2 linked regions of the Pelodiscus sinensis genome follow. The protein of the gene in region 2 interacts with the protein of the main gene of each other region in a biochemical or structural test. Links are inferred from orthologs where the notes say so. Each region holds a gene or a part of one and is shown on either strand. Other genes may lie near its edges.

What was found. The genes of interacting proteins can lie anywhere in the genome.
Region 1: the proteins of DTL (region 2) and KMT5A form a complex in vitro, tested with the Homo sapiens proteins (2 studies listed by BioGRID, with this or other methods). The link is inferred for Pelodiscus sinensis from reciprocal best matches to the Homo sapiens genes DTL and KMT5A.

Annotation. Positions count from the first base shown.
Region 1 is NC_134725.1:31,417,010-31,426,559, forward strand, and holds the start of KMT5A (N-lysine methyltransferase KMT5A), read right to left. Parts: upstream 4,194-9,550; 5' UTR 3,970-4,193; coding exon 3,930-3,969; intron 3,342-3,929; coding exon 3,247-3,341; intron 213-3,246; coding exon 56-212; intron 1-55. UniProt on the Homo sapiens protein: Protein-lysine N-methyltransferase that monomethylates both histones and non-histone proteins. Specifically monomethylates 'Lys-20' of histone H4 (H4K20me1).
Region 2 is NC_134713.1:146,924,909-146,934,895, reverse strand, and holds the start of DTL (denticleless protein homolog), read right to left. Parts: upstream 4,493-9,987; 5' UTR 4,407-4,492; coding exon 4,361-4,406; intron 3,766-4,360; coding exon 3,640-3,765; intron 1-3,639. Other genes in the region: INTS7 (integrator complex subunit 7), read left to right, coding at 4,881-4,971, 9,518-9,647. UniProt on the Homo sapiens protein: Substrate-specific adapter of a DCX (DDB1-CUL4-X-box) E3 ubiquitin-protein ligase complex required for cell cycle control, DNA damage response and translesion DNA synthesis.

The DNA.
Region 1 (9,550 bases), on a different chromosome or scaffold from region 2:
ATACAGACACAGGGCCAAATAACCCACAAGCAAATTTGTGGAAAGTCAATCTTACCATCTCCTCTTTTGCATGTTTCATTTAGTGTTTTGCACTGACATTTCACCTCATGAGGCATGACTGAGTTTTCCTCTTGAAGTGGAGGACGAGCACCAGGAGATTTGTTAGGACTTAGGTAGGTGTAGATTTTGGACTGGCCAGCAAATACGTTCTCCTAAAACAGAGAACCAAAAAAGATTCATGTCAAATAAATCTCAATCCCAAAGACTCCAATTATCTGCATCATGCTGCATAGGCCAACACCCACATAACTGTAACATTTTGCATCTGAATAGCAGAGGATCCATTTATCTAAACACACACAGACACAGACACAGACACAGACACAGACTGTGATTAGTAATACAAGTTAAACCTCTCTAGTTAGGCTGCTTTGGGACCTGTCCAGAGCTAACCAGAGAATTTGCTGAACCACAGGAGGTCAATATTGTCTAGCAGCATTATTAACACTTCAACTGCTTATTGGCTCTTTGAAGATGTAGGAGTAAATTAGAGCTAAATCACAGCAAAGAACACAGAGCCAGGACTGATAGCTGTAAACAAACATTATGAGATCAAAGGAAACTTGGCCACACCCATGATAAGTGCACATCCAGTTAACTGAACTCATGCTGGACCACAGAGGTTGCTAAACCAGAGAGTGCCAGACTAGAGAAGTTAAACCTGTAGCTTGTGCTAAGAATTTGCATGGCAATGTCTGTTCAGAGACACTTCCTCAAAAACAAACTAAATACATAAGGCAGGACAATGTAGCACTTTAAAGACTAACAAGATGGTTTATTAGATGATGAGCTTTCGTGGGCCAGACCCACTTCCTCAGATCAAATAGTGGAAGAAAGTAGTCACAACCATATATACCAAAGGATACAATTAAAAAAAATGAACAAATATGAAAAGGACAAATCACATTGCAGAACAGGAGAGGGATGCGGGGGGGGGGGGGGGGGGAGGAGGAAGGTAAGTGTCTGTGAACTGATATTAGAGGTAGGGAGAGTGGGATGTTTGTGAGTTAATGGTATTAGAGGTGATGATTGGGGGCTTCAACTACCCCAGACTAACACGGCTACATTTCTATCACTATTCTATAAATGCATAAGGTTAGTTTACTTAAGTGTTAGGGTACAGGTCTAAATTCTTTTCTTGGGATGTGTACCCAGTCCCAAGTGACTTAAACATAAGGTGCAATGCTAGTGAGAGAGCAGCATCTGGTGCTCATTTCTCTCTCAAATGTTTATTTTTAACAGAATAATTATTCAATGTGATGATTTTCTCTGCATTAGTGCAGACCAAAGACCAATATAATCCATTATTTAGAAAGCTGATGTTTCCCCTGAAATTGCATTAAAAAGAAAAATCAAAGGCTAGTTTAAAAAACCCTCCGTTTTGATAATAATAATCTGGAGTTTCTTCTACGACCCCCATTCAAAAAAAATCAATTGGAAAACATATGTCAACACATACAGTACACAGAGGTACAGATGATCAGAGAGAACAGTCTAACCAATTGGAAAATTAAGCAGCATTGTTTCTAGCACACTGTCTGAGCAGGTTAGAAAGCATTTCATTTTGGCATCATGACAAGATGGTGTTTGGGAGAGAACTTCTATTAAATTTTTCTCCATCTATTCAATCAATAATGAGCTCAAGAACACAGCAGAGCACTTTAACACAGGTAAGTGTCTCACGGGCATATTTAAGTCCCACTGAGAGTGAAACATGCTCCAGGAGTCCAACAGAGTCCATGCGCATATTTAGAAAGACAATCCACCATGAGTGGTGCCTCATTCCAGTGAGCTAAGAACGTAAACATGGCAAAACTGGGTCAAACCAATGGCCCATCAAGTATCCTGTTTCCAAAATGGCCAGTGCCAGATGCTTCAGAGAAAGTGAAAAGGGTGATTTATTGAATGATCATCCCCTGCACTTGTGTGGGAAAGGTTTATATGGGGTCTTAGAGAAGTACCATTATCTACTACCCCCTCTCACTTTGACTCTTAAGTTTTATGTAGCAATTCTGATTTTCAATCCCACCATGTCATGATTATGTTGATGTAATTTAGCTAAAAGTAAGATTGCCTTGCCTATATTTCCTTACACACACACAAAAAAACCCCCCACAGATTTTCAGATTCAAATGAAAAAATATTTTTCACTAAAAAGGAACTTTATAGTAAAGCATGAAATGTACCACATAGCTGAACATAAGGGTGCATAAACAATGACATGTAAAGGGAGCCTATTATGGAACATATATGTAACTTAAAAACTGATAAACTGCTTAAATGTTGTCACCTTAATCTGATTTAGCTGTAATTTGTAATCTTTACCCAAGAGCAACATTGTATTAGTTCCTGGCCATTTCAAGGCTCTCAGAGTAGTGTATATCTATACCCCCTCATTTAAGACCTTTACCTATCTAGAAATAGTTTTCTTCATTCTGTACTTTAGGTCCCAAGATTGTGGACACTTAAAGATGCTTTAATTTCAATGCAACTAATCACACGCTAGAAGTCAGGCACAGAGGATAAGTATTTGGAGGACCCAAGACTGCCATTTCTTCCAGGCAGGGAGATACTAATTGTTAGTGCTTATACAGCTTCCATAGGCCCATCTGCTGCCCTGATTCCTACAGACAGACCATTTAGCCTGGCCAAAGCCTCAATGAATGGGGACCAGCTTGCAAGATTGAAGCTAGAGTGACTCTCGCATCCTGCCTAGGGCTTGGAAGGCTACTGCAGTAACAGCAACAGCAGCTTCCTACACGGGTAATTTTACTCACGTGAGCAGGTTCATTGACTTCAGTGCGCCCGCCGCTGCGGCAAGTTCCCCAGATGGAAGCAGCGGCAGCCAGGCCTGTACAGAGTCCCAGCAGGAGGGGCTGCGTATGGCCACGTCTGCTTGGGCGGGGAGCAGCTCAGGGCGCCCCTTAGTTGGGGCGCGCGGCGGCAGGCCCAGGCTGGATGCAAGAGGCGGCATCACAAGGACTCCTACACATATTCTCCCGCCTCCCCCAGCTCCTGCAGCGTCCCCCTGCCCTGGGAGGGGGAGGGGATTTTGCCTTGCTCCCCAGACCTAGGCTCGTTTTCCCGGGGCGGCTTCTGAGGCGCCTCCGCAGCCCGGTGGCCGGCTTGGAAGGGGCACGAAATTGCTTTTCTGCCGAGCGCGGGGGAGACGGGCAGGGCGCTTACCCCGTTCATCCTGGGGCGGCCGGGCCCCCGCCGCTCGGTGCTCTCCGGAGCCGCCTCCTCCGCTTTGCCGCCGCGGGGCTTGGGCATGGTCTTGCCTAGGGGAGAGCAGGGGAAGGAGGCATCAGAGCCATGCCCGGCGCCTGCTTCACTTGCCGGCAGCGGCCAAAGCCGCCGCCACCTGCGCCATGTTCCAAGGGCTCGGTGCAGCGAGCCAAGCCCAGGCAGCCCTGCCCCTTCGGGGCCGGCCCAGCGCGCACCCCGCTTGGGGGAGGAGCCGCCGAGGACACGCTGCGGCGAGCAGAGAGAGAGGAGACAAACCAGCCCGGCCGCTGGGGGGCTGAGCCCCCCTCCCAAGGAAACACGCGTCTCCCTAGAGCCCCGCTCACAGCGCCCCCGCAAGACAGACCCCCCCCGAGTCACCCAACCGCGTCCCAGCCCCTGCCCCCCCACGGGTCCCACAAGCCCCCACCGCGTCCCAGCCCCCCAAGTCACAGCCGCCCCAGATAGCCCCGCTCCATTCACACCCCGCAGCCCGCGCCCTTCCTCAGAACGCCCTCGCCCCCACGTGCTACCGCCACCCAGCCGCTCCCTGCCCCGCATCCCACACATGCCAGCACGGCTCCCTCGGCGCCGCCACCCCACATGCGCCCCCTGCCCATCTCCAGCCCCGCCCCCTTGCTTACCCTGCTCCTGGCACCTGTCAGGATGGCTACCTTTAGCCATGGCTCCAGGAGCCGGCGGTCTTGGCAATAGTCGGAGAACTCCCTGGGGCTGCTGCACCGAGACAGCACGGCTGTCGAACTGCTCCAAAGAGATACACTGAGCTCTCACCTTCCGCTGCCTGATTGGCGCCCCCAGGTGCCTGTCACAATTCTCTGAGCTTTGATTGGAACGCAACGGGAACACGTCCCGCCTTCCCTTATTGCATTGGAGCCATCTGAGTCAGCGCGGCTGCCTCCCGGTGAGGGTGTTTAAATGTGCGTCCCCTGCTCGCTGATTGGTCCACGCGAAGAGACGTGGGGCTGTGATTGGAGCTTTGTCTCCCTCGCCTTGTGGGCGAGACGTTCTGGATCCTGTGACAACTTTGGGTTCAACCTAGCCACTGTGTGTGGGGCTGTGGGCTTTAAGTTGGCGGTATATACCAGGCCATATTTGTACAGAGCGGCTCCCTATTGGACTGTGCTACTTGGGGAGAATTTAGGGATTCAGATAATTTCTGTATGGGCTGTTATATTCAACACCCAAATTACATCAAAAGCTAAGGATCAGACACAGCCTACACCATTAGCTTCATTTAGCAGGGAGGAAACTGGACAGGTTTTTTCCCTCCTCCCTCTGTCCCCCTTTTTTTGCTTTAAAATTTTAAGTTTCTGTGCCCCTCTGACTCCACTCATCTGAAGAAGTGGGTTGTGCCCACAAAAGCGCATGATGAGAGAGAGAGAGAGAGAGAGAGAGAGAGTTAGTCTCTAAGGTACTACAGGACCACTCATTTAGTTTTTTAAGTTACAGACTAACACAGCTACCTCTTGGAGAATTTAGGATTACTGAGCATGCTCAGTAGCTCTGCTGAAGCCTGGGAAAGGGGAACCAGGTGTCAGGGAGGGAGCCTCTAGCCCCTCTTCTGTCAGGGGAGAGAAAGGAATATAAGGAAGAGGACCCAGGACCCTGGTAGGGGGCGGAGGCTGCATTGTGAGGAGGAGCCTTGGGGGGGACAGAGGCCACGTGGCGGCGAGGGAGGGCCTCCTCCAGTGGCTGGGGCCGGGACCGGGACCTGCCGCGTGACAGGGGACGGGGTTGAGGCCTGCTTTGGCAGACAGGACTGAGACCTGCCACATGGTGGGGGCAAATGGGGTGCCAGGACCTGCTCGAGGGCTGGGGGTGGCTCAGAGGAGGTGACTCAGGGGGCGTGGGGCTGTGTGTGTGGAGGGAGGGAAGGGTCAGGGCTGCTCTGGCAGCCAAGGCCAGTAGCTGGGGCCTGCTCCAGCCCTAACCCTTCCCCAGGGCTGGAGCTGAGTTCAGGGCCGCAAAGTGGCTTCCTGACTGCTTGTTGGGCTGGCCATATAGTGGCTGCCCAAAGCTGGAGCCAGGCAGTGGTGCTTTAGCTCCTGGGACTGGTGCCTCCTGCACCTCTCTCCCCCCTCCCACACCTTTCTTCTGCCCCTCAGAATTCTGTCCCCCAACCCTCTATCCCCCCTGTTCCCCACATGTCACTCAGCACCTCAATCCCCGAAAATCCTGGGTGCTAGCAGCAGCTTCTTTCTGCTCCAGGTGGGGACTCACAGCCAGCCCTGCAAGGAGCAACCTGGGACAGTGCCTGCCCTGCAAACACGCTGCTCAGGGAGTAGCACTCCCTGGAGTGGGCGCATCATCCCTTCTCCCCAAGAGATGGGGGGGCACTACCTGGGAGAATCTTTTAGGGAGCAGCACCCCTGGTGAGTGCCACAGTGGCACACATCTGAACAAGCATGAGTGACCTCATTGTTGGCACACAAGACAAAACTCACTCCACTCATGGAAGGAAAATCTTAGAGGGAACACTGTCCACAGCCTCAGTCCTGTTGAGCAAATGCAACTTCCATCCCAGAATTAGGTCCAGTGGTTAAAGCAGGGGGGCTAGGAGCCAAGAGTCCTGGGTTCTCACTCAGGGTTTGGGAGGGAACTGGGGTCTAGTGGTTAGAGCAGGGCTGGGGACCTGAGTGCCTGGTTCAGAAGCACAGTGAGGAGGGATTTGGGGCAGAGCGAGGCTCGGGGGGGCTCCCCATCTTCCTGGCCATCTTCTCCTTCATTCACCGCTGCCCCCTGGGAATTGCTGCCAAACTGCTGGGTCTGGTAATGACAAGAGGCTGTGGGGTGGGTTTACCCTTTACTGAATGCTGGGACGTTTAGAAAATGACAGCACTAGTCCCGTCCATAACAACCACACACATATCCAGACATAGAGGAAGGAGCCATTTCTTCTCCAGTGGAGGCATCTTGGTCTCGCGCATGTTTTTCTTGCCGCTCTGTACTGCTAAGCAAGGGGCATTGATGTTTATGTTGCCAGCTGCAGGAGAGACAAGTAGGTAAAGAGAGAGGAAAAAATGATTGTGTGGAGCCTTAGCACAGCTTCCTCCAGTATCCTAAGGCTGCCTGCACTTGAGCCAAACAGAGTCTGGGGCCTTCCATCCTGCCTGTGTACCAGGACTGGAAAGGCTGGAGCTATGCACCACCTGGCAAGGAGGGACATGGGTTGGAGGCCTGCCCCTATAGTGGGGAGCTTGCCTTGCCAGATGCCCAACAGTGGGACTCAGCCAGGAGGGATAGTGCATCCATTGCTCCTATTCTGCTTTTAATTTGCTGTTTCCTTGTAGCTGTAGGCAGGACTCTCCTCCCCTCCACACACACAATTCCTCCTTCGCGTCTCCACTTTGCAGGGAGAAATTCAGGCTGTTCTTCTGTCTCCTTGTTGCCAACAGCTTCACTCCTTCTCCCAGTCCCACTGACCCAGCTTCTGTCCCCACTCATTCCTGTGTGCAAAGCAGCAGCGCTAACCCCTGCATTCCCCTCCTGGGGCCCTAATCCCTGCACCCTTCACTGCTAACCCTTGCACCCCCTTTCTGCACCCACATGGGGACACTAAAGTGGATGCACAAATCCTCACAAGGCACTAAAAGGTACCTGTGATGATTCCCCTCTCCATGCTTTAGGAAGTTTAATTCAGGAATATAAACTGGCAGATGTATCCGGTGTTGCTTGGGTCTTTAACTCTAGTAACGTTCGGGTTATTTTTAAATCAAAAGGAAACACTCTGCTCACTATGCTTGCCAAGCCCCCTCTCTCTGGCCTCTTTTGTGGTCAGAGAGCCAGTTAATCTTGCATTGATAATATAGAAAAGTGAACAAATGAAGCCACATAGAAAAAAATGTTAATTGGTCTATTGATCACGTAGTACATGTTACAGTACTTCCTTAACCGGTAGACATCACCACAGGTATCCAGCTATACGAGGGATATATGCTGATGATATCATTCTGTTGTGCAGCAGGAAAAACTTGTTTATATAGAGAGATGTACATGCGTTATTTCCATGATTGTCTAGGACAGAGGGCTGGGTATGTGGTAGGGTTGCCAGGTGTTCAGTTTTGAATCGGACAGTCCAGTATTTGAGCTTTCTGTCCGGGAAATAAATTGAGAAAATAGAAATTTCCGGTATTTTCTAAATAAGATGGAATGTCGATTGTGATGTCATGTCAAGTATGTCCGGTATTTTTGTTGAAACCATCTGGCAACCCTAGTATGTGGGGGTGGGGCTTTGGCATGGGGTGGAGGTGCAGGATTGAAGCCAGGGAGTGACAGTTGCAGGACTCAGAGCAGGGGGCTGGAAAGCTGGGGGAGGGGGAAGGGGGAAAGCTTACTGGGACTGTGAGGGTGGTGTTGTTGTGGTGGCAACTTACCCGGGGGGGAAGGGCTGCACTCTCCAGCCAGCCATTCCTTTTGTGGTGCCAGCCTGGGACTGCAATTCCTGATTGGTAGGAGACCGGAGCTGCATGGGTGGCCCTGCCCTGCAACCTGTCCAATTGGGAGGCAACACTTTGCAGGCCAGTCCCAGCCTCCAGAACCTTCTCCCCTTGCAGCCTGCAGGCTCTCTGTGCAAGAGGACAGGTTCTGGGGACTGATCCAGCCCTTCAGGGGCCAGTGCGGCCTGCAGGCAGTCAGCAGGATAGGAAAGAGGGCCCCAGGTGCAGGCTCCAGCCTCCAGCAGTCCCCACTCCTTTTCCTGCAGCCTCCCTGGGGGGAGAGGACAAAGGATTTGAGGCAAGGGGAACAACTTACCTGGAGTGGTGGCAAATGGTGTCCCCTGGCCACTTTCTGGGTGATGTGGCTGCCACATATTAGACACTCTGCAGGAGGATTTTCACTGCACGTGTGCTAGTATCAGCCCCACAACCCTCTTATTGTGTGCCTTGGAACAGCAGCCTCCACCATGGGCAGTTATTGAAGCTTCTACTTGGAGAAGCAGTAGCTTCCCAGCCCAGGCCCTGTTCTCTTTCCAGCCATGGGAGAGAGAGACGTGCTGAACAACACCTGGAGAGCTGAGCAGTGTGCCAGGATGGTAGGAAGTGGCCAAGAGCAGAGGATTGTCCTCTGGGAGCTCAGTGCACTTTGGCTGGCATCCACACTGAGAAGGCAGTGAAAGCCTGTACTGCTAACAGGGCTCTGGAGGCTGGGACCTATCTCCCCATTCCATTCCCTGGCACTCTGGGGAGACTGACCTGTGGACTAGGCCTCTAGGCCACAGTAACTCAGAGACGAGTGTGTTTGGGACTAGGCCTACAGGACTGTATTTACCCTGGGTAGAGAGAACTGTACTTTGGGACTAGGCCTCGAGGGCTGCATTTGCCTTGTGAAAAACAGACATTGACCCTGACTTTGGGGTTTCCTGACTGTTGAGGCCCATTGACACCAGCACAGAATTTGAACAGGTTGCCACTTAGCTGTGGGAAAGCTCCAAAGAGCTCCTCTGGCCCAGGTGGAGGGAGATCCATTCCTTCTGGCCACCTATTGTTCTTCCTGGTCCCACCTAGCTGGACCTGGACATGAGGACAGGTGAGCACAGGGTACCTGCTGTTACAAATGCTGTAGCATACATGCAGCATAAAGTGGCTGGCCTACCTACATCTTTGACTAGCCCTCTGATAAGTGATGCTGGGGGAGGCTGGGTGAAGCCCTGCTCTCACTGTCCCTGCCTCTTCTGATAAATTGCTCCAGCATCACATAAGGTAGTAGGAATAATCCAATACATTCCCAAATTGAAATTCTATAATCCAGGAGCTGTGGCTACTGCATAAATAAAGCAGAAAGATTTTGAAATTGTAAAAAACACGTTGCAAAAGTGCTCTTCTTAGCACTTTCCATTTGATGACATCAAAACACCTAACTAAAACCAATGAACTAAAACCACAAATTCCTGAGAGGCAGGAAAGTATTATTATTCTTCCTTTTTCAGATAGAGAAACTGAGGCACAGGATAATTACGTTCCTTATCTGTTGTTTTTTTAATCAGTGGAAAAAAAATCCATTGAGGCCAAGCCTTAAATTATGGGTCCAATGTCATACTGGAAATCTGTGACAGGAAGGCCATTGGAAAACCCCTGATCTTCACATTCCTAGCAGAGGGAAGAACAGACCACTGGCTGCACTGAGGTGGGGAGATCACCTGAAACCCCAGCCTTCCTAATATAGGAACTCCATGGAGCTGCTGCACCTAACCTTGACACAGCGTAAGGCCATGGTCACCAACCAATCGATCGTGATCGACTGGTCA
Region 2 (9,987 bases):
CATTTTTCATAGACAGGTTTGCTCATCACCAAAGCCAGCACCTTACTACTGACTGCCACCTTGTTCATCCATCTACTTCAAGACAGACCCAAGAAAACCAACAATAGAACACCACTTGTCATCACCTATAGCCCCCAACTTAAACCTGTCCAACACATTATCAATAAACTACAGCCTATCCTGGAACAGGATACTAAACTCCAAGAGGCTCTGGGAGACAGACCCATAGTCTCCTACAGACAACCACCTAACCTCAAGATGATTCTTACCAACAACCACAGGACATACCACACTAATACCAACCCTGGTACCTTCCCTTGCAACAAACCCCGTTGCCAGCTTTATCCACATATTCACTCTGCTGATACCATTATTGGACCTAACCAAGTGAGTTATAAGATCAAGAACACATATTCCTGCGCATCCAGAAATATAATTTATGCTATCATGTGCCGAAAGTGTCTGTCTGCTATGTACATTGGACAAACGTCTCAGACACTTCGCCAAAGGATCAATACCCATAAAACAGTTTCTTGCCATTTCAACCAGAAAGGACATTGTTTCAACGACTTAATTACCTGCATCCTACTTCAAAGGCCTTTTAAGACTACACTTGAAAGAGAATCCTCTGAACTGTCATTCATGCATAAATTCGACACTTTACGCCTAAGTTTGAACAAAGACTTTAATTATCTTACCCATTACAAAGATAGCTTCCCCAAGTATCACCTCTAATATCATTAGCTCACAGACATTTACCTCCCCCCGATCCTCCTTCTGTTCTGAAATTTGATTTGTCCTTTTCATATGTGTTCATTTTTTTAATTGTACCCTTTGGTATAATTTGTGACAATTTTCTTCCACTATTTGATCTGAGGAAGTGAGTATGGCCCACGAAAGCTCATCATCTAATAAACCATCTTGTTAGTCTTTAAAGTACTACACAGTCCTGTTTTTTGTTTCAGCTACACCAGACTAACATGGCTACATTTCTATCACCTTGTTCACAGTGTTGAATAAATATAAAAAATTAACTATCCTCTACAGTTTGGTAATTCCTTTAGGCCAGGATTTAGGCATAGGGCTAGGGATGTAAGCGACTAATCGACGAGTCATTAGTTTATCCGACAGTCAACACACTAGTCAACTAGTCGCTTCCCCCCCTTGCTATCACAAAGAGGCAGTAAGGGGGTGGAAGAGGAGGGATGCTGGAGGGAACTGGCTTACAAGCTGGTTCACTCCATCTCCGTGGGAGGGGGCAGGGGCACAGTGGTGGCCAACTTTGAAATGTACAAGAGTCCCCGCTGGAACACAGAAGTTCTTATAGACTAATCAAATAGACAATGGAAATCCCATCGACTATTCAATTAGCTAATCAATTGAAATTTAACATCCCTACACAGGACAGGAGGGACAGTGTGGAAAATCTTGCACAGCTAATGCCAGTGATTTACCTCCAGATCAGGATTTCAATATCCAGGCCTGTCAATCAAGCCAGCAACTGTCACCCATGAAGAAAGTGATACACATGGGCTGCATCTAGACTGGCATGATTTTGCGGAAATACTTTTAATGGAAAAACTTTTCCGTTAAAAGTATTTCCGCAAAAGAGCGTCTAGATTGGCACGGATGCTTTTGCGCAAAAGCGTCTGTGCCCAGTATAGACGCGCTTTTGCGCAAGAAAGGTCAGATGGCCATTTTAGCCATCGGGCTTTCTTGCGCAAAAAATTAAGGTGCCTGTCTACACTGGCCCTCTTGTGCAAGTATTCTTGCGCAAGAGGGCTTATCCCTGAGCGGGAGCATCAAAGCATTTGCGCAAGAAGCACTGAATTCTTACATTAGAACGTCAGTGCTCTTGCGCAAATTCAAGCGGCCAGTGTTTTAGAAGCACATGGGTTTTAGAAGCACATCTTCCTTCTCATCCGTTTCCATTTACTACTCCTCACTCTATTCCTGATCCTAGTTACTTATGAACAAAGACCAACCTAAATTTGCAAACATCATAGGCCATGTCTCCACTTGCCATGCTGGAGATCGATCTTCTGGCATTAGTGTGTCTAGTAAGAACCCAATAAATCGAACACCAAGGGTGCCCGCCCAGTGGACACCAGGTCTTCTCGTAATTGCAAGGAGTAAGGGAAGCTGATGGGAGCTCTCATCAACCTCTCCCTGTGCAGATAGCACCAAGCTTGACTTTTTTCATTGAGTACCTTAAGCTGACCTTCTGGGTCTAGTACAGACCTAGTTTTAGTGCCACAACAAGACATACTTTGTCTCAAATAAGGCTGAAATCAAAAGTTGTGAAAGTGTGTACATTTATTTAAATGCTTTAATTGAACTCACTTTATTAAAATGCATAGCAATCCCATAATACTGCCAATGGTCCATCATGCTGCATAGTTCTATTTTATCAAATTAAATCATAGGCTGTGTCTACATTGGCACCCTTTTCCAGAAAAGGGATGCTAATGAGACACTTCGGAATTGCAAATGCAAATTTAAATATCCCCCATGGCATTTGCATGAACATGGCTGCCGCCAGGGGCAGATGAGAGTTCCGCGGGGCCCCGGGCAGCAAAATTTCGCGCCCCCCCCCTTTGACACAGCGCATGCGCCGTGGTGCCAAGGCGCATGCGTGGGGCCTCGGGAAACGCGGGGCCCAGGGCAGCCGCCCCGCTCGCCCTGCCCTAAATCCGCCTCTGGCTGCCACTTTTTTCCAGCTCGGGGCTTTGCTGGAGAAAAGCGCCAGTCTAGACGGGATCTTTCAGAAAATAAAGCCTTTTCCGGAAGATCCCTTATTCCTCTTAAAATCAGGAATAAGGGATCTTCCAGAAAAGGCTTTATTTTCCGCAAGATCCTGTCTAGACTGGCGCTTTTCTCCGGCAAAGCCCCGAGCTGGAAAAAAGCGGCAGCCATGTTCATGCAAATGCCGCAGGGGATATTTAAATCCCCCGCAGCATCTGCAATTCCAAAGTGTCTCATTAGCATCCCTTTTCCAGAAAAGGCTGCCAATGTAGACACAGCCATAGTGTTACCCAATTTACCTTAAAGAAATAATGGATTTTTGAATATAGCATCCATATCTGAAAAATGGCAAGGGACATTTTGACCTAAGAGCTTATTCTTAATAGTTGCTCTGGTAGATGTGTCATTAACTGTCTAGTCCAGAGCTACTCAACTTTGGAAGCCCCAAATATATGTAAATAGCTTTTCACACTGAGGGGCATGAATACAAAGATTAAGGCAAGATTACACAACACACAGGCCCCATTTAAGTTAGTTCTGCTGATATTAATAAAATGAAATACTTACCCAATTTCCACCCATATGACAGCACTTTTAATGAGCAATGTCAGTCCAGGAATTTAACTGCTAAAACACGTATCAACCGAAGACCATTATACATGGAGTACTTTTTTGTTTTGGCTCCCACCCGTGGGCCACAAACAGGCTACATGTTAAGTAGCCCTGGTCTAGTCTATTTTGTCACTGATATAAAGGGCTCTTTATGAAACTGAATATTCAAAATAAATGGCTACAATATCTTTCAGGGCGTAGCCGTATTAAAGTCTGTACATATTTATGTGCAGACAGCTTGGGCTCTAGCATAGCATTTTGATTTTAAAAAAGAACACTTACCTGTAGAAAAGGTGCAACCGAAAGGAGGAACTGGCATTCCCGTCTCTCCATAAGAAAAGTGGTCATCTAGCTGACTGCACTCATAGCAATCCAAGAGATGTTGCAGGGGATATTGCAAAGACAAACCTAAAAATATGTGTATTTTGTCATTTATCAGGCATTTTGAGTTGCTGCAATAAGACCTACTAACTTCTTCCAGTAAGAGGTCTTATCCAGGTTTTTGGACGTCGATGGGATTTTCCATTTCGTCATGGGGCCAAAGTACTAGTCATAGTTTGAACACTAAACAGAAGAATCTACATGTACCGGGCATTTGCTGTTCCATTAGCTACAACGATCTAGGGAGAAACGTCCCATGAGACGTGCCAGTCTACCCGATCCCCACACCATCGCGGACAGCTGCGAGCACCTCCCCCGGCTGGAGAGCCTCATCCGTGGGGTGATCTCTCAAAGAGAGGGGCGCCCCAGCGATGGGGCTGCCAAGCAAGGACGGAGAAGGCACCAGGGCCGCACTACAGCTACAGCCATGCGTCGGGGAAAGAACTGGCACCTGCCTGCCCTTCCCCTCTCCGGGGCCCCGGCACCCAGCCCCTCGCGCCGGGCCGAAGCCGAGCAGGCGATCCCAGGAGTTGCGGGCTCAGCACACCGCAGGCAGGGCTCCCGCGGTCGGCAGGGTCGGGCCAGGCGATCGCGGTCCCCGTTGGGGCGGCCCGATACTCACGCTGCGGCCCGTCCCGGGCTCGGTGGAGGAGCGAGCGGCAGAGCATGGCCAGTGACTCCCACAGCGACCGGGACACAAAACGGACAGAGGAGCGTCTACTCCCGCCACTCGCGCTACCCGCCAAACTCCACTCCCGCTTGCCATTGGACAGGACAACGTAGGCGGGGCAGGAGGCCACACCCACTACTTCCCACTGGGCAGGGGCTCCGGGGCGGGGCCCGAGGCCGCAGCCATTTCCCTCTCCCCTAGTCCCCACGCTAGGTGCTACAGACGCTGAGGTTAAGGTGGTAGGTTGAAGCGGATCACTGTACACGGGCAGCAGACCTGGGGGCGGGGAGTACGAGTCTAAATTGCAGCTCGTGAGGGCGCATGCGTCCCGGGACGTAGTGGCGGGAGCGGGAATAGGTCAGTGGTGCGGACAATCGCGCATGCGCAATTGCACTTGAGGCTGAGGCACGTAGGTAGCTGCGCAGTGGGTTTACAGGTCGTGCTGCGATCTAGTGCGGGAGCGGGTACCGCCATGGCCTCCGGCGCTAAGTCCTTCCTGGCAGATGCGGGCTACGGCGAGCAAGAGCTGGATGCTAACTCCGCCCTTATGGAGCTGGACAAAGGTAGGAGAGCGCAGGGCCTAGCCGTGGCTGGAGGCGCATGCGCGCGCTGGCAGCGGAATCTCCGTCTCAGTCGGTCTGGCGCGGTGCGCGCTAACGGCGGGGAGCCGGCCTGGAGACACCGCCCCGCCCAGGCCCAGACAGGCCCCAGCCCGCCCCTCGCCCTCTCCTGCCATCGGTGCCGCCCTAGCGTGCGGCGCGCCGGTTCTTGCCTCTGCCCTGTGTGCCCCCGCCCTCTGGGCAGCCGCAGGACTTCCGGCCCGCGTGGCTTTTCCTGCCTCCCCCCTGCCCTGCCCGCCCAGCGCCTGCTTGCTGCCCTCTGCGCTCACAGAGTCCCAGCGCTGAAAGAGACCTCGGGTCATCTAGTCCAGCCCCCTGCCCAAAGCAGGACCAATCCCAACTAAATCATCCCAGCCAGGGCATTGTCAAGCTGAGACTTAAAAACCTCTAGGGATGGAGATTCCACCCCCTCCCTAGGGAACCCATCCCAGGGCTTCACTGCCCTCCTAGTGAAATAGTTTTTCCTAATACCCAACCTAGACCTCACCCACTGTAACTTGAGACCATTGTGCCTTTTTCTCATCCACTGCAATCCCCGGGTCTTTTTCTGCCAAATTGCTGCTTAGGCAGTCTGTCCCCAGCCTCCCAGGGGCAAGGCACCTGTCAGACCACATCCTGAATTTGGTTTAGTGACAGCCAAGTCCATGGAGATGTGTCTTGTGATGCCTCTTGGCTACTGTGAAAGTTCATTGCATAGATTTATAGACATTGCAGAGACTGGGAAATCTCTTTCCTGCACAGAGCTTTACTCTGATTGTGCCAGAAAAGAGAAGTTGTTAACCATAGTCTTCATTCTAAAGCTTTGGTTGGTCGATCAGCACAGATTCCACTGTAGTGATTTAGTTAAGATGATCTAAATTGAGGGGGTGACCTAAGAGGCAGTAGCTACTCACATACTCTGCCTATAGTGGTGCTGAGGTTGCTACAAATATGATGCACAGAGGTTCATCCCCCTGAGTGACATAGATGTATCAAAGTAATTCTGTAGTGGAGACCTGCCCTTAAATATTTTTGGATCTAGATCTGGAATAATCGATTACTTTTCATAAAGGTCCAAATGTCCTGATCAAAACATAGCCACTGTCCAGATTCCAGAGAAATTGATACAAACAATAACAAGTAAATGAGATTTTGTGGTCCATTCAAAAGTGTCTGCTGGTGTGGATTTGATACACAATGAGGCTACATCTACACTGGCATGATTTTCTAGAAATGCTTTTAACGGAAAAGTTTTCCGTTAAAAGCATTTTCGGAAAAGTGCATCTAGATTGGCAGGATGCTTTTCCGCAAAAGCACTTTTTGCGGAAAAGCATCCATGGCCAATCTAGACGCGCTTTTCTGCAAAAAAACCCCGATCGCCATTTTCGAGATCGGGGCTTTTTTGCGGAAAAGAAATCTCTGCTGTCTACACTGGCCCTTTTGCGCAAAAGTCTTTCAGAAAAAGACTTTTGCCCAAATGGGAGCAGCATAGTATTTCCGCAGAAGCACTGACAATCTTACATGAGATTGTCAGTGTTCTTGCGGAAAAGCGTCCGTGCCAATCTAGATGTGCTTTTGCGCAAAAAAGCCCCGCTTGCCATTTTTGTGATCGAGGCTCTTTTGCGCAAAACAAATCTGAGCTGTCTACACTGGCCCCTTTGCGCAAAAGGACTTTTGCCTGATCGGGGCTTTTTTGCGCAATAGCGTGTCTAGATTGGCATAGACGCTTTTCCACAAAAAGTACTTTTCCGCAAAAAGTTTTCCGTTAAAAGCATTTGTGGAAAATCATGCCAGTCTAGATGTAGCCAATCTACCTATTGACTATGGGTGTAAAGGCAAGCATGCCAGTAAGGCAGTGCTTACCGGGTAACTAGTTAACAGGTTCCTGGCATGGCTGGGCCAGTTAATTGTTCAACATTTTAAATGGGATTTTACATCCCTACTATTGTTTATCTTTGGTATACAGTCAGATCACTAGAACAGTGTAGGGAGTGGAGGATAAGTCTGATGTTGGTTGCCATAAACACAGCGCTGAGGAAACGCTAGTCAGTATTCTGTACCGATTGGGGTTTCCTAAGGTTTCATATCCATCTGTGTTGCATTGCTGTAGTCCAACTAAGAGGTGATAACTTAGGCCAGGTTACCCTAAACTGTGTCACATCCTGGCAAAGGTATGTCTACACTTGTACCCTTTTTTTGAGAGAGGGATGCAAATGAAGACATTGGAAATTGCAAATGAAGCTGGGATTTAAACATCCATGCTTCATTTGCATATTTGTGTTATGGTGCTATTTCAAAATAGCGCTATTTCGAAATAACAGATGCTGTTAAGATAGTTATTTTGAGAGAAAACCCATCTTAACAGCATCTGTTATTTCGAAATAGCGCTATTTCAAAAGAGCGCCATAACGCGAATGTGCAAATGAGATATTTAAATCCCAGCTTCATTGGCAATTTCAAACGTCTTCATTTGCATTCCTCTCTCGAAAGAGGGTGCAAGTGTAGACATACCCTGAGGCTACGTCTACGCTTCAGGCTTTTTGCGCAAAAAGTTGCAGAGTGTCTGTCTACACTGCACTCATGTTCTTGTGCAAGTAAATTTACAGTATGGTGTCGGAAAACCGGGCTTCTTCCAAAAGAGCTATTCCTCTCTCCACAAGGAATAAGGCCTCTTGTGCAAGAGCTCTTCCACAAGAAGGCAGTGTAGACAGGCAACATGAATTTCTTGTGCAAGAAATCCCTATGGCTAAAATGGCCATCAGAGCTTTCTTATGCAAGAGAGTGTCCACACTGCCATGGAGACACTTGCACAAAAGCATCTCTTTCGCAAAAGCACGTGGCAGTGTGGACGCACCCTTGAGGAAGACCTTTTGCACAAAAACTCTTCTGCAAAACAGTTCTTGTGCCAGAAGCCTGGGCTATGTCTACACTCGCAGCTTCTTGCACGAGTAATATGCAAATGAGGCTAAGTGTGGAATATCGCCAAGCCTCATTTGCATACCTAATGAGCCACCTTTTTTTTTTTTTTTTTTTTTTTTAGAAGAGGCTCTTGTGCAAGTAAAACCCTCTTGCGCAATGCAATTACACCTATTACTTGACAGGAAGAATGGTATTGTGCAAGAAGGTTTTTCTTATGCAAGAAGGGGCAGTGTAGACGCTCCTTCTTGCGCAAGAGCCTCTTCTGGAAAAAAAATGGTGGCTCATTAGGTATGCAAATGAGGCTCAGCGATATTCCACACTTAGTCTCATTTGCATATTACTCGCTCAAGAAGCCGCGAGTGTAGACATAGCCCTGCAGTGTAGGTGTAGCCTTGATGTTAGTGAGGAATCGAGGAGCACTTCTAAGCTATAGACTGAATGAAATTACTTGTTTTGAGAACACTTAACAGGGCTAGCCAAGCAGTGGCAAGTCCTGCTCGCCAGCTGCATGGTTTCGCGCAGTTCTGTGCTCTGCGCCGGCTCTTACGAGTTGTAATCTACTCGGTGGCGAGTAGATCACATTATTTGTCGGGCCCTGCTTATTAACATGAAGTTCTTGTCTAATACAACATGACTCAAGCTGTCTGTAGCCTTCTCATGCTGCTGCAACATACATGATTAATAATCATATTAACTAAACTGAGTATGGATTCAAATCTGTAGGAACTGATGGAAAGTTAGTGCCTGGAATTTGCAGCATTGTATTGTATGCTTGCTCTGTTGCCTTTGACTGTGTGTATCTAATATCTCAGTGATATTTCTCAAGCATATTCCTGAACTGACTTAGTATGGAAAGAAACAGTAGTACAGTTAGCACAGCTTTTAAATAGTGCTAATTATGAGTACATATGTTTTGCTTTAAAACTATTTTGCTCACTTGTTAATGACAGAAGATTGACTCAGTTTTCAACTGATAAGAACCAATAGAAATGTTAGACATTGGTATTAAAAATATCAGTTTTAATCATTCTTTCTGCAGAGAATATTTAACTTCACTTTCAGAAAAATCAACGTTACCTTGCACATTTTAAATTTTGAATGTATGTATGTTTTATCCTATCCAAGGCCATGATCCTACAAACATTATATCATATGTGTAACTTTGCTCACCCGAATAGTCCTATAATTTTCAATGGGACTGTCCATGAGAGTATAGTTAAATGTGCGTTTAAGTGTTTTCAGGGTGGGGACAACTGTACTGGATGTTCTCATTCATATAAATGTCCAATCCTTTCCCCTCCCCCAGATATCCAGCTAAGGTTTCTGCCTCCATTGTATCTTGTGTGTTCTGTAGGTTAACTGCATTGTGCATGTATGGGGAGTGTTTCTTTTTTGACCAGTTGAGGATGTTTTGCTTTTCAATTTCATTATGTAATATATTTTACAAGAGGGTGAATAGCCTAATTTACCTCACATGCTAGATTTCATTGATGCCCCATATTATTTCCACTCTAGATAATCTCTCAAGTTTTTCAATCATAGAGAAAACCATAACTATTCTGCTAGAATATAATTATTCTTTCTCACATAGGCCTCAGGTCTGGAAAACTTGGGGAGCAATGTGAAGCTGTTGTCCGTTTTCCCAGGCTCTTTCAGAAATATCCATTCCCCATTCTCATTAATTCTGCATTCCTAAAACTGGCTGATGTTTTTAGAGTTGGGTAAGTAAAATTGATCATATTGCAATGTTTCACATCTCTGATTCTCAAGTAGTACATTATTTCCTCTGATCCCTGTTCCCTCTGAAGCCTAGATAATCTTCCTGCTTTCCTACTTCACAGCTGCTCTCCTGTCTAAGGAGATTTGGATGGACTCTGTTTGGAGCCAGCTGGCATGATCCTTAGGGCTTTGGAGGGGCAATGAACAATTGAAGGCATTGTCATTCTGTCCTTCTAAGTAGAGCCCTGCAAATCCACGGATATCTGCTTTATATCCATAGTCACATACACATCTGTGGATGTGGATACCCATCTGCAACTTTTTTTTTTTTTTTTTTTTTTT